Kluyveromyces lactis: one gene and its partner. The protein of the gene in region 1 interacts with the protein of each later gene in a pairwise test. Links are inferred from orthologs where the notes say so. Each region holds a gene or a part of one and is shown on either strand. Other genes may lie near its edges. The genes, in order: SPR3 and KAR5.

The links.
Region 2: the proteins of SPR3 (region 1) and KAR5 interact in a two-hybrid assay, tested with the Saccharomyces cerevisiae proteins (2 studies listed by BioGRID). The link is inferred for Kluyveromyces lactis from reciprocal best matches to the Saccharomyces cerevisiae genes SPR3 and KAR5.

Annotation. Positions count from the first base shown.
Region 1 is NC_006038.1:717,477-725,563, reverse strand, and holds SPR3 (septin SPR3), read left to right. Parts: upstream 1-5,831; coding exon 5,832-7,478; downstream 7,479-8,087. Other genes in the region: YPK9 (putative acid anhydride hydrolase), read left to right, coding at 1-1,200; KLLA0_B08195g (uncharacterized protein), read right to left, coding at 1,273-2,265; KLLA0_B08173g (40S ribosomal protein eS10), read left to right, coding at 2,990-3,310; PEF1 (Pef1p), read left to right, coding at 4,324-5,412. UniProt on the Saccharomyces cerevisiae protein: Septins are GTPases involved in cytokinesis that assemble into filaments and form a ring at the cleavage site. May act by recruiting MYO1 and HOF1, a protein involved in septation, to the site of cleavage.
Region 2 is NC_006042.1:2,423,256-2,431,077, reverse strand, and holds KAR5 (Kar5p), read left to right. Parts: upstream 1-5,288; coding exon 5,289-6,752; downstream 6,753-7,822. Other genes in the region: DHR2 (RNA helicase), read right to left, coding at 520-2,718; AEP1 (Aep1p), read left to right, coding at 3,548-5,020; JLP1 (sulfonate dioxygenase), read right to left, coding at 6,924-7,822.

The DNA of each region.
Region 1 (8,087 bases):
GATTCAGGCCTAATATCGTCTGAAAGAGTCTTCATTCCTTTCTTAAACGACAATCTCGAAGAAAGCAGACATTTACTTTCTTGGAGAGACGTTGATGAAGAAGGTTCTGTCCTAGATGCTGTCACTTTAAAGCCTTTAAACGATCCAGAAAAGAGTTATACATTAGCCATAACCGGTGATATTTTCCGTATTCTCTTCAGAAATGATGAAATTTTGCCAGATGATTATATCAGCACAGTTTTAATGAAGGGTTCAATTTACGCCAGAATGTCTCCAGATGAGAAGCACGAATTAGTGGAACAATTACAAAAATTAGATTACAACGTTGGTTTCTGTGGCGATGGAGCTAACGATTGTGGGGCTTTAAAAGCAGCCAATATTGGTATTTCTTTATCAGAAGCGGAAGCATCAGTTGCTGCTCCATTTACTTCGGCTGTTTTTGATATCAGTTGCGTTCTGGACGTCATAAAGGAAGGTAGAGCATCATTGGTGACCTCCTTCTCCTGTTTCCAATATATGAGTTTGTACTCAGCAATTCAATTCATTACCATTACCATCTTATACAGCAGAGGATCAAACCTAGGAGATTTCCAATTTTTATACATTGACTTATTGTTAATCGTTCCAATAGCTATTTCAATGTCATGGTCCAAGCCGAATAGCAAATTAGTGAAGAAAAGGCCTAGCGCTAATCTTGTTTCACCAAAGATATTGGTACCCCTTTGTCTGAACATCACTCTTATATTGATATTCCAATTACTACCATGGATTGCAGTTCAATACACCTCTTGGTATATGAAACCAGTTGTCGGTGGAGATGACGCCGTGCAATCCAGTGACAATACTGTTCTATTCTTCGTCTCTAATTTCCAGTACATTCTTACTGCAGTGGTTTTATCCCAAGGTCCTCCATACCGTGAACCTATGATTAAGAACATCGGGTTCATTTTGGACATTTCTCTTTCTATGTTAGTTAGTTTTGGATTGATGTATTTGAATGTGCAAACCTGGTTAGGAGAATTGCTCCAGTTAACAAACATATCTGATACTTTCAAATGGTTAATCCTGACAACGGCTGCAGCTAATTACTACGCATCAAAATATATCCCCGAAAAGTTCAAACATTTGTTCAAGAAGAAACAAAGTAGCAAGAAATACAAGAACATTGACAGGAAGCAGCAACAGCTAAACTTTGTATAGATTGAAATATTTACTGTGTATACGGAAATGCTTCTACCTGTATCTTTCTTCGGTATTGTTTGTCTCACTAAATTACAAGGAGTTTGAAGAATTTCTCATTGAAAGGAAACAGTTCCATAGAACGCCAACCGATGAACTGAAGGGAACCTGTAGGTGTTTAGGGACCATTAAAAAATTGATGAACTGAACCAGCGGCCAAACAAGATAATTGCATCCCAACGTAGTAATGTATATGTTTCTGATTTTAATTTGGAAAGATTCTGCATCACCATGTTCCATAATATAGTTTGAATACATGAAGAAACAGTATAAAGAAATTGGAGAATAAACCAATTGATCTGATAGCACTCTTTCCAGGACTTGAACCACCGTTGGATCCTCGGTATAAAAATAATTTAAGAATTTGTACCACGGTACTTGAAAGAATGATAGGAACCAGCCCCAGGACATAAAACAGATCCATCTGTAAAAGCTGAAAAGCTCATTGTTAGACGACGATGTACCATCAGCATCGTAATCCAAGTTTGAGTCAAGATCCCAGTCATGACGAAGCTCTGAATCAATGCCAGGACTAGCATTGCGAGTATCCGTTTGACCCTCGAAAGAAGGTCTCTCGACACCATAGTCGTTGAATATCGAGACGTTGTCACTATAATTATCATCAAAGGATTCCGTGCGACGGAACGAGAGTCCTGCAACTAAATTCCTAGTTACCTTATCGACAACTTCAGGTACCGGGTCTACTTTGTATGATAAGAAACATGAAATGCATTGTGCCAAGCAATCTGAAGTTCCGAACAAGAGTACATTGGTGCACATGGTGGCTAACAATGCAGAAGACTGGTATAAAGACCCGTAAACAGATGTGAAGTGCAGTAGAAGAACAATCCAAGTAGACAAAATGGACCAATGTATAATCGTAATCTTCAATATTTTGAATCGTCGTAAGCTATAAATTAGGTTCAGTGTTATAGTTTTCCATTGTTCGATCTTATTGGTAAGGCTGTCTCTTAGTCCGGACTCAAAAGAGGCAAACCCTGATTCCTCAGGTAATGATAATGGCATGGGAAAATCGGAAATGACAGAAGTTTAGTGTGATGATATTGTATTACCAGAAGAGTGTACACTTAAGAATCCCTTTGTAAGGTATATATATCAAAGCGGAACAAAGTGCCATACGATGCTGTCCTTAATTCATATAAAGAGATATCAACCTAAAATGAGACAGAATAACACACACGTGACATACAAATACGAGGGACTGGCCAATTGCAAAACACCTGGACATCCAAAAACAAAACGCCACTTTTCGGAACACCCATACATTTAGAAAGATATTAAAGTTATCAAATGGGGAAATTGTAATCTCACCATTAGAGAAACCGAACCCAAGCAAATGTCAGGTCTCCTCACAGAGTATATCGTACAAGCTGACGTTAGGAATCACTCACTTACAAATAGCCGTAGAGATGGGAAAGTACCTCATCGATTCACTGCTAACTGTCTAACAATCTGAAATCCATAATGTACTGCAAGCTACAGACTTAGTTACGTTAACGATCAGTTCAATTTTTTTTTTTTTTTTTTTTGATTTTGTCGATGTTTGAAAAGTTTCAATGAATTATAGAGGAATTACAACTTACATTTGGTTATTGACAGTTAGTTTTATAATTGGTATTAGCATTTGTACAATTTAGTTCTTACTTATTGTTTTATAATTTATGTTATGTGTTTTGTAACCTGTTTCAGAGAAAAGTAAGTTCAATCAAGTAAGCAACAGCAGAACAAAATGTTAATTCCAAAGGAAGACAGAAAGAAGATCTACCAACACTTGTTCCAAGAAGGTGTCTTGGTTGCCAAGAAGGACTTCAACCAACCAAAGCATGAAGAAATTGACACCAAGAACTTGTTTGTCATCAAGGCTTTGCAATCTTTGACTTCCAAGGGTTTTGTCAAGACTCAATTCTCATGGCAATACTACTACTACACCTTGACTGAAGAAGGTGTAGTTTACTTGAGAGAGTACTTGAACTTGCCAGAACACATCTTCCCAGCTACTTACTTGGCTGGTCAATCTGGTGACCAAAGACCACAAGGTAAGAAGTACTAAATTGACTGAGACATGGCCTGACTTTGTGTGATGGGGAAGTTGTGTTTTACCCGTATTTTCTCATCATACTGTCAGTAAAACGTTGTTAATGTCAACTGTTTGGATTCGTATTAATTTACAATAAAGTCGTACAAGTGAGCAAGATGTGGAACCTCAGTTGTTATTCATTTCCTGAGGAAATGAATATCCTTGGATTCCTTTTTCTTAAATTTACTCAAACATAGTTGTCGGTTCTTTATTCAATATTCAAATGGGTTAACACGTTATTATCGCACATGATATCATTTTTATTTTCCAATATTATTATTACTATAAATCACATACTTATAAATGTGAGGAGTAGTATCCTTTTGTCATTTTACTATTTTTCTTGGGTCTATTGCAGTGTCGTTACATTGCTCCAAAAAACTTCACATAATCCATACTCTCACGTAACTGTATATTGTCTTTTATAGTCTCATAAAGCAACATATAGCTGGTGTTTTTTTTCAAGCCTGTACAGAAGCTATTTTTGGTTCCTCTCTCTGCTGCCGATCGTTTTGTATATTTTCATCGTCAGGGTTTTCGACATTCTTTCATTCAGTAGTTATCTCGGAAATTAAAAATAAATCCAAACATAAACTTTCAACAACACACTTAGCAAACAAGAGCTGTTAGAATGAAATATATCCCGTTTGATTTCTCGTGAATGGATAACAGTAGCACTGATAGATCTTAGCATTAATTAGAGTGATAAAACCCGAGTCATATACTAATTTGAAGCTGAATGTTGTGAATTTTTGTTCAATATAGTAGCATTCTGATTTATCACCCTATCATGGCTCCAAACAAAATAAATTACTCCGGAGGAGATGAATTACCAGTATGTATCGATTGAAGTACTTATAAGGTTAATGAGGGTAAGAGCTCCCCATCCCCCCCCCCCCCCCCCCCCCGATAATAATGTCATTGTCACTAACTTTCCATTCCTAAACACTTAATAATTACAGTTGTACGCGACCCCAGAAGAAGCGATGAAAGAGGGTAAAAGGAGAGAAGAGGTAGAGAGAAGACGCCGGCAGATGAAATATGGTATCAATCCAAAGCTGCAACAACAGCCAGTACCTGTGAACCCATCCATTCACCATGCACCTTCGTCATACTCACTGGATTCAAGTTATCAAAAACAATCACAACTGCCACAGCAGAGAACCATGATGTCTGGTTACGAACACGGAGCAGGACCTGGGCTACAAAGATCTCAACCAAGGGTACCGAGCTATGAACAGCCACCTGCACCTTCCAGGGTGATGGCTCAAATGCCTGCCCATAATGGTAGTTCCGCCAGTATGTCAACTTATGCTCCACCACAACAGGTTTACTATCAAAGTCAAACTGCAGGTCATCCAGTAGCAACAGTACCGCATTCTTCACCACAAAATATCTCAATAAGGGCCCCAAACCCTCCACCACCACGCTCTATGCAGTCTTCATCGGCACCTCAAGTACAGTATCGCAAAAATCAGCCACTGGCCGCATCTAGCGCAGGTTCTATAGCATCACAAGAGTCCCAACAAGAACAACAAGATAACTTAATCGCAACCGAGCTTTTCAACAACCATGACTTGAAAAACATGGGCAGACTCACGGCAGACGAACTGCATAATTTGTTACAGAATGATGATGGGTCGAAATTTTGTACAAGTTCAATTGAATCACTAATAAACTTGTTTGGTGGCTCTAGATTTGGTACTGTCAACTTAAATGAATTCATTTCGTTATACAAGAGAGTTAAAAAATGGAGAAAATGTTTTGTAGATAACGATATCAACGGCTCATTTACGCTAACGATGGCTGAGTTTCATAAAGCTGTCCAATCGTTGGGATATCTAATTCCTTTTGAAGTTAGTGAGAAATTGTTTGAATGCTATGCGGAATACTTTGACCAGCAAAGGCTAAACAAAGAAATGAAGTTTGATAGATTTGTTGAAACGTTAGTATGGTTAATGCGACTAACCAAAGTTTTCCGTAAGTATGACTTGCAACAAGAAGGGACTGCAACCATTGCATACAAAGATTTCATAGATCTAACTTTGTACTTAGGCAAATTCTTGCCACATTAATTCTAAAAAATGTACTATATGGTGAAGCAGATTCACCAGGAACCGTAATTCCTATCGAATAACAAATATTCTATTAATCTTTAATTATTCTACACTTTCATTATCCAGCTGAAGAAGATCGCGACACTTAGCTTGTTCCCTCGTTCGAAGCTAAAAAAAAACTACATCCTCAGACTAGAGCGATGAGCAGAGTCACTTCGAGCAACAAGAAAAAATCACTGGCATATGAAATATCTGTAGTGACATAAAGTACTAATTTTTCTATTTCAATACTTTTTTGATTTTTGTGTCCAGCGACAGAAAAAAATCTATAATAGTATAAGAGTAGTAAAACAAGGAACTGACCCCCCAGTGACTGGATTTATCGTGGAAGTGTTACATTTGTTGACGTTTACCAGGAGGCTTCGAACGGTAAAGCAATGAATTCAACTAAGAATGGCTGGGGTTCATCAATGGATCATTATATTGAAGCAACTGGTGTTGAATATGATTCCATTTCCTATGGACCAGCAAAATATGGTTCGAATGCAGATAACCTGGAAGTCATTAACGAGCAACCTGAAGAAGAATGTACTGAAGTGAAACCGCAGTCTCAAGAAAAAAAAGAGGTGCTCGATTCGGTTAGACGATTGTTCGAAGCTGATTCCACAGAATCTAACAGCGCTTTGAAGAGTCTAGATGTGGATATAAACGTTCAAGGTGACTTCTATACGCTAAATTCGGTCATGAATTCTTCTACAGCCAATACAACTCAAGAGAACTGCTCGAAGTTTATCACTCCGTCTGTTATTGATGAACACTATCACATTGGTATCGATTCTATTCCTCTACAAAAGGAAACTTTCATTGAAAAAAACGGTGTTCAATTCACCATGATGGTAGTAGGGCAATCTGGATTAGGTAAGACAACTTTCATCAATACCTTGTTCGGAACTTCACTTCTACCTACTGTATGGGAATCTGATATGACAGAAAGAGGAGTCACAAAGACAACGAAAATCGTTCGCCATGAGAGTGAGTTAGTTGAAAATGGGTTTACCTTGAGATATACTGTCATTGACACACCTGGATTTGGCGACCTTGCAAACAATAATTTTTCTTGGTCACCAATTGTAAATTACATTGATGAGCAATATAGATCTTATATCTTTCAAGAAGAGCAGCCATTGAGAGCTTCCCTTAAGGATAACCGTATTCACTGTTGCTTATATTTCATAAACTTGACCAGAAATGGCTTGAGTGCATTAGACATTGCGGCAATGGAAGAAATTTCTAAAAGGGTTAATTTGATCCCTGTTATCGCCAAAATTGATGGGTTAACCTCGGCTGACTTAGAAATGTATAAGAGGAAAATCAGAGAAACTCTTCAAAAGCAAGAGATAAAAGTTTGTTCTTTCTTGGATCAAAACCATCCCAACTGCCAAACAATATTCGATACGTATCCGTTCGGTATCGTTTGTTCCGATGAAATGGTAACAAATAACGAAGGGAAATTGGTACGTGGTAGAAAATACAAATGGGGAAATGTGGAAGTTGAGAATCCGCTACATTCCGAATTTACTGCTTTAAGAACAGTGTTAATGTCTAAAAATCTTGTTGATTTCGCTGTAGGATGTGAAAATTACTACGAAAAATGTCGTTCTCATATCTTATTATCAAGAATTCAACAGGCTAAGACCAACTGTCCAGATCATTTGGATTTGACTAACTTAGATCTTGATAATCCCGATCAGAATGGATTAGAAAACTATAAATTCTATGAAGCCTTCAACAAGAAATTTATGGATGATTTGATTATCGAATGGTCCCCTGAGTTTATCCATAAGCAATGGGAAGCAAAGAAACGGCTTAGCGAGATTGTGTCAATGGAAGAAAAAAGATTCAAGGATTGGAAACAGGATTTGCTAAACAAGCAAAATTTATTCAACCACGAGATCGAGGATCTTCATACAATAGTCCAACAGATTCGTTCCGAATGCAATGAATTGGAGACAAGGGTGAATAAACAGAGGCCCAGGAGATTTTCTAAACTTGGATTATCTTCACATTCTGAATTAGCTAGATGAAAGTCTTTTGCTTGAGAAAGGCACAGTTTATCCATTTCAGTGAAAATCGGAAGACATAAAAAAATAAATAAAGATATAGAATAGTATGCTCAATACGTCATTAACATAATAAATTTGATATTTTTTCTGATAATCAGTTCAGTTATCATCCTGCCGGAATAATTTGTTTCTATCTGCCCTAATGACATTATTTGAAGTGCTTGAACTGACGCATATCCGGGTAAAAATAAACAACAGAGGTTTAAAAAAATTTTGTATAAAAAATCCAAAACTGCCTACAGTTACATCTCTTTACTATCAACTAATCGTAATGGAAAGTAGGAAGTTAAAAAGACCAACAGAGGGTAAATATACTGGCTGACACTCAACATACATGAATGGCGAGGAAAGTGTTCTTCACGGTTGATGTGTGTAAGAGTTGTCTTCGGTTACTCTTCTTTTTCTTTATAGAAATATATGCGAAGATTATATGACTTGAGATTAGGCATTGGAAACCCTGTCTAGTCTCAATCACAAAGATTTCAATGATGACTACATCTAGGTACATTTCTGGCATCTCTAATGTTAGGGTGGGCGTTTAAGTACTTCTCACTCGATGAATAGAAACCT
Region 2 (7,822 bases), on another chromosome or scaffold:
ACAATCTGGTGTATACCCACTGAGTTTACGTAGAACTTGAATTATCTCTTCCCATCCCATTCCAAGAGCAAAAATAAAAAAAAAACTAAAAAAAAACTAAAAAAAAATAAAAAAAAAAATACCACGACAAATTCTTGGAGAAGTACGGCCACAAACGGAAAAACCGTTTCTTTCCTCGGTGTTTTCTTTATTCTGTATTCCGATCTGGACACACATTATTGTTCGATTATGTTTCGAGAGCTGTTTGAAGAGATTTGACTGAAAGTGCCGTACAGAAAGAACTCACACAGGCCATTACCAGTGAAAATCAAATGTGCCTTCATTCTTTTTTTTTTTTTTTTCGTTTTACACTATTTACAATTAACTGTGCTTTGCTCGCATATGATCGTTATGATGTGATTAATTAATATATACAGTTCCCTATTTAGATCCTGCATTTACTGTACTTCGAATGCGAAGAAGTACGGGGAAAATTTTGGTTGATGGACCAGTTCCTTTACCCCGCGAATAATTCTCTCATTATCTTGTCGATTGCTTCAAAACGCCTGAGGCAATTTCTTGCAGCCATGCCAATTCAATTCGAGAAACAGACCGCGCGTATCCCTTTGTTGTGAATACGTGTTCGATGTATAATATCGCAGGGCATGGACCTATTTCATCGCCACTATTCATGAATAACATCGAGGACGGATGGATCGATATTGGTTCCCCTGTTGGCGTTGTTCTAAAAGATTTATCAGGCATTCCAATTGCAGTGTTCTTGACAAACCCATATAGGAAACATTTTAAAACACCCGCAATGTCTGGCGGCTGCAACAGATTCGTAGCAATGTCTTCTTCTGGTTGTAGGGTGTCCTGTTTTGTTTTAATTTCTACCGGTTCATTGTACAGTCTCTTCATATACCCTGTCAACTGTTCTCTGACTTTAATCACGTTTTTGAATCCACGCTGAGATACACATAACTGTTTACACCATTCTTGTTTCTCCGAATTGCTTTGTAATGATTGATACATGTCGAATAACTCTTTTAGCATGATTAGGTCACCGTGCTTACTGCCTAGGGTACATAATGCCCTTCTTCTTTCGTTGACCTCATCTCGTTCCTCAGGCAATGGGTTTAACACCAAGTTTTCAACACTCAGACATGATACTATATCTATGACGTATGGCAATACTTGAGTCTCTTGAGCATGAATCAAAACGTTACTTAGATGTGGTGCTAAAGGTAATAGCGCCATCTTGCGACCTCTATCAGTGACACGACCCTGTTCATTGAGAGCACCAAGTTCATATAATTCTTTTAGCCCCGAGATAATAGCTTCTTTCCCTGGATGTTCTAGCCACGACCAGTTTACAATATCTTGTACGCCGTACTGTTTCAACATCAAGATAGGGGACGTAATTTCACATCGAGTAATTTCGGACTCAGATTGTTTCGGCAGTTGTTTGTAATCAGCTTCTGTAAATAATCTAAAACATTTACCTGAACTTTCTCTGCCTGCACGACCGGCTCTTTGTGCTACACTAGCCTTTGAAACAGGAACAGTTAGTAACGTAGCTAGCCCCAACTGATGCCTCCAAACTTTCACCTTCCTTAATCCACAGTCTATCACATATTTAACTCCAGGAATGGTAACAGATGTTTCCGCAATGTTAGTCGCCAATACGATTTTTCTTTTGAATCCCTTTAAAGGTTCGAAGACTTTAGCTTGATCTTTTGGTGGTAATGCAGCATAAAGTGGGTATGCTGTGATGCGTGGTACAGATTCGTCTAAATATGGAATGATTTTGTTTAAAATGGCCACTGCTTTATCAATCTCTTCTTGCCCCGGTAAAAAACAGAGTATATCTCCTGTAGTTTCTGAACTGTTTAACTGAACTGAACAGCGTACCACACTATCCACTATATCTTCACAAGGTCTGGGTAGATAATATCTGTCTACTTTGAATTTGCGGCCTTCAACGAATAGTATAGGTGCGTTCGAAAAGAATTTGCTGAATAGATCTGCTTGTAATGTGGCAGACATTACTATTACTTTCAAATCTTTCCTTTTGGTCAGTTGAAGTTCCTTCAAAAAACCTAAAATCAAATCCGTCAATATAGTTCTCTCATGTGCTTCATCTATGATTATGCATTTATAATTGGATAGGTTCTTGTCCAGCATTAATTCTCTGATTAACATACCATCTGTCAAGTATTTCAATTTAGTTCTTGTCTTGTGACTTTTATTATCAAACCGAACAGAATAACCAACTTCGTGACCAATTCTACATCCGTGCTCTTGCGCCACCCGAGTTGCAAGATTGATTGCTGCAACTCTACGTGGTTGAGTAACAGCTATGGCCCCTTTGTGCATCGGAGAAATCTCATCCATCAAAAATTGGGGAATTTGTGTAGATTTACCAGAACCTGTTTCACCAATCAATATGGTAACTGGATTAGCTTTAATGTGAGACACGATCTTTTCCTTATTCTGGAATACTGGTAAACTCTCACGCCCTTTCAATAACCTCAGTGCCCTTGTCTTTAACTCTTTATTTGACACATGATCCAAGGCTTCGGAATCCGAATCCCCAGTATCTCCATCTTGATGGTCATCAAAAGTAACTACGGTCTTCTTCCCAGCGTGACGTTTTAACGGGTTTGCATTGGATTTCTTCTTTCCAATGGACTTCCCATTCTGCCGGTCTTGAACCGCTTTACTCTTCTTTCCCATCTGAGTGATAGGTCTATAGTTGAATCAAACTCGAGTGGGTCAACAAATAAGGAAGCTGTAGATCCTCACTGCTAGCTCCTTACAGCAAGTGGTTGGCAATAATAGCAATAATCTCAACTCAAGAAAGCTGAAAAGACCTTTGACAAAACCAAGCTTGTAATTTTCCATAGCTCATCGCATCTCATCTCTGGAAATAGCTACTATTTACGTTTCTGCTGAAAATTTTCTTAGCTCATCATCGATTCAATATTGCCAATGAAAAAAAAAACTGATATTGTTGATACATCTGGCATAAGATGATGGCTGACAAGAAGTCCTGAATGTATATCACACCTAACTCTCTTGCTTCACTTTCAAGCGTTACAGAGGAACTCTCATAATAAACGATTAGTCTATTATTCAATACTATACTGGAACGATATCCATTTATCAGCAGTGACAAATTCTCATCATTGCCTTAACATAGAGAAGGAATAACACCATCAAGAGAAAATTAGTTTATATATATATATATATAAACTAATGCTGTCTTCGGTGTAGTAAAAGAGTATCATATTCTTTGAACAGGGTGCTCTTTACTGGGCTGCGTCTCTTAATTGTAATTCCACGATGATTTGAACAGTGTTGAACTTGTATTTTCTCAAGCACCTTCGAAACTGAAAAAAAAAGCTTTATTTCAGCATGGTAGATAAACTCAACCTACAGCGTTAGACCTATAGGGGACCGTTCACCAATCACATCTGGGGAAAACTATATATTATCTGTGGCTACGACGTTAACCACTGCATCTACTATCTACATTTCACTCTCTCATCTTTTTTCCCGTGATATGAGTATACTTTCTAGAGCTGCTAATAAGTTGCAACCGGGCAAGACGCTACTGGTTCCAAAAAACAAATTCAAAGTAGCAGATGAAGAATGGGGACATCTACCTGAGTACGTGGTTCCAGCAGCTAACAAGATTGTACATCCATTCTACCAATATCCTAATGCTACCGAACGCACAGCTTTGTGCATCACTGAAAGGAATCCAAAACTTTTCAATGGGAAGCCGGTATTACCAGCATTTGTGAGACACCCAGTGACAAGTGAATCTACTCTAGTGGAATCCAGATTGAGTTTTGACACAGTTAAAGATGTATCAAAATGGGTTCAGAGAATACATAAATCCGGAGACCGTCTCTTTCATAAAGTCAACATTACTTCATCAGACTCCGGACCAAAAGTGAGAAAAACGAAACTGACCTCGGAGTCTCCATTTGTTAAACAATTAGACAACTTTTTGAACAGCCATCCACAGCTGTCATTCGAGACATTAGACAGTGAATTGAGCAAGCTATTCATATTCCATAAAGGTCAGGAAGTTATCTATTTGGAGGAGATTTTTTTGTACATATTGCAGAGAGACAACTTAACAGTTCCGCAATGGAAGGCCACCTTGAAAACTTTACCAAAATATGTTGGTAAGGAAATAGATGATATTGATATGCTCAACACATTATTGATTCAATGGGTTCTCTCGGGAGAACAGTTATTCACGAAAATTGATACACCAGCCCTTAACCTACTGTGGAACGTGATAAAGAGTAGCAGGGAATCTTTAAACCAAAATATAATAACTAATCTCAACAATGTTCAACTTGATAAGCTTTTTGATACATTCTTAAAGGGTAAGGATATCAAGGTGTCGCGGATTTTACTAGAAACTTTGGCATCTCGCCGTATTATGCCATCTCTACCGTCCATAGAAGAATACATTGAACTCGTCGGACAGGCTGGTCAGGAAACAGATGCAGGCATTGTTCCACTTGAAAGAAAATCAAAACTTTATCTTTTGCACGTACTTTCCCCGGTATTCGCCTCTAATTTAACATGCAGAATGACTGATCTCCTGTTACCATACTGTATTCACCAATCAGAGATATTTGCTTTGTTGGACTTAGCCCTCAAATCAAAATACTCTAAAGACATTGCAAAATCTTGTGTCAACAACTTCGTGCTTAGAATCGCACAGTTGAAGGACTCTCAAGTGGACAATAGTCTTAACATTTCTTCATTATATTATAGAATTAAGGCATACAATAATGGAACTGTACCGAATGCAAATCTTCTTGCTTTTATCATAGCATTACTCACTAACTCTAACTTTAGAGCAGTACAGACCATTATCAACGAACAACCTGTCAAAGAGATCACCAAAGTTATCGAAGTTGTCAAAAATCAAACCACCTTTATTGATCAGTTTGGATTTACTGGAGTTGATAGAGAGACGCTACTGCACTTTTTGAACAATAGAGCATAGTTTCCAACATTCAAAATGATAGATTGTTCAAACACATGTTATAGATTACTAAAACAATTTAAACCTTACTCCCGAATTACTGTAAATAGTGCTAATATAGTGACATTTTTTTTTGTTGATGTTTCACATCTGTTTCAGCTGCTTTCTGGTATTGATTCTTACGGTATAAAAGGAGATTTAGAAAATGGGTGAGGCAAAATCTTGTTAATGAATTACCAGATCACACCAAGCTTGGGATACTGTTCTAATCCATTCACGAGAAGCCATCATGTGGTTTCTTGTTTTCAGCATATGGATCGCTTCCGGTCAATTACTGCCACATATTTCTAACGTAATAGAAAAGGAGCTCGATCAACTAGAAATAACAGAGTTATCCCGTGAATACATCAATAATAAATTTCCCATCACTCAGTCAAGCTGTGTTAAAAATGCCTTGGGAGAGTTTCTCGAAATATGTATGAGGAAAGGTTTCGAATTTGTTGATGCAGATTTGAGAGTCATCACCGCAGTACGCTTATCAGTTTGTGAATTTGAGTCATCTGGGTTAACCAACTACCCAAGCGAATGTCATGAAAAACGATTAGGTGGGATAGATACTATAAGCTGCGTCAATGCTTTGGAGTCATCTCCGCAGTGGTGGACAACATACAGTGGAAACTATCAAAATCTTCCACATATTTGCATGGAGAATTCGTTACCGTTCGAAAAGGAACAGATCCTTGAGCTATTCTTGAATATTACTGACATGTACTCAGAATTTCAAAGAAATATAGAAAACTATTGGAAAAGTTTTAGTTCTGATCTAGAAATCAATGGTAAGGAGAATATTGACATGATCCAAAATTTATTCAATTCACTGGTCAATGATTTAATCCAAAATCACAAAATGAAGGACGAAGAATTAATCACTGAATTTGACAAGATGAAGGCAGAGTTTGATATCCGATTCTTTAATTTTACTGAATCATTTGACAATCTCAACGATGAGGTGAATGAAGATCTATCATTAATAAAATCTCACTTAATTGAAACTTTTCGGCAAGTCGACTCAGAATACATGGCACAACTTCAAAAGAACAAAAATTCCACAGACAAAGCCTTCAATGAATTAGAATCTATGTCGACTTATATCTTGGATCACCAGAAGACATCCATGGAACTTATTGACAGCTTTTTCTCAGATCTAATAGACCTAACCCGTGATAAAAATCTAGTAATTAGCGATGAGTTAATGCAGACACAAGAAGAAACTATACACCTCATATTTCAATACAATAAACTAGTGCATGAATCTGTTATACCATTATTGACTGACGATCTTTTACCTGTCGTCAGAGGTGTGTCAAATTCCATTGTTGAAAATTTAGACAACATGAATGTTGAACTTACAAGCCATTTGGAAAATGTATCACAAACCATCGAAGTAAAATTTAAGGCCTTAGAAAAGGAAACAGACAGATCTCTTTTAAAGGCAAAAGAGGTTGAATCAAATTTGCGAAACTTAAATAACCTTGTGAGTACATCCTTGAAGGGGTTACAAACTATTGTACGGTTATTAACGTTTTTGTTAAAACGGCAGGTCGTTTTGGTAGGGATCCTGCAGATCTTTTTAAGGAAATACATCTCGATGAATCTATACCTATACGCAATAGCAGTAGTTGTAACAGCATTAGCTGGATCTAAAGTGGGATCATGGGGCTCATTACTAATGAAAAGTTTTGTCACTCGATAGAAGGTATTATTTGCCAGAGCCATAAGTTTGAATGTTTTATTTTCGACATCGTACACATGTTACATAGTGAAAATACAAGAGGAGAATGCCAGCAAAACTCATCAAGAGTAGTCGCCGTAAAAAACAATTATTCGTTAAAAAGGTTTTGTTGTAGAGGTAGGGCCAGCCAATTCAATACTTGGAGTATACTACTCTATCGTCATCTTCTTCCTCCTCTTCGTCACGGTGCGGGAAATAAGTTGGGTCATTCAAATACTTTAGATCCTCTACCGGTCTTTCACCTTGTGGAGTAATTCTTACGTTGTGCCTGGTGACTGGATCTTCCCAGTCCACAGAAGCTGAATGTTGAAGTCTTCTGTTATCCCAGACAGCAACGGTACGGGGTCCCCATCTAGCACGCAATTGCAAATCGTGGGAGTTTTCAACCAAACTATACAAGAAGTCCAACAATAAATCGGATTCTGGTGTTTTCAATTCTACGATTCTTCTTGAGAAAGATCTATTAACAAACAATGATTTCTTTTTCAAAACTGGATGAACCCTAACCAATGGGTGAATGTGGGTAACTGGTGCTCTTCTTTGAATACCACCGTTACTCTTTGAATTGAACGCTTGCTCTTTTGAAGAGTGAATCACGTGCAATGTGCTCAAATACTCTTGGAAATGTGGCGACAGTCTTTCAAAAGCTTCAATCGTGTCTGCAAACAAAGTGTCACCACCAGATTCTGGACCTTCCAATTGAGCAAAGAAGGTATAACCAGCCGGTTGTAATTCATAAGAGACATCAGTATGGAAACCAATAGAAGTAGTTTTGTCTCTGAAAACTCTATTGAATTCAGTACGGTCAGGACGCCTGAAAGTCACATGCAAGTGCGAATGGCCTTCCGGAGCACCGGATGTTTGGTGGATGTGCAACTTCCCGAAATGTCTGCCGTATTCCTCAGCGTATCCAGGGCCCTTGTCGACAAAATCCTGATCTTCAAGAATGACAACACCTCTTTGAGCAATGAGCAAAGCCAATTCATCTTTGGCAGCGTCACTCAATTGAGTTAATTGTAAGCCCTTAATCT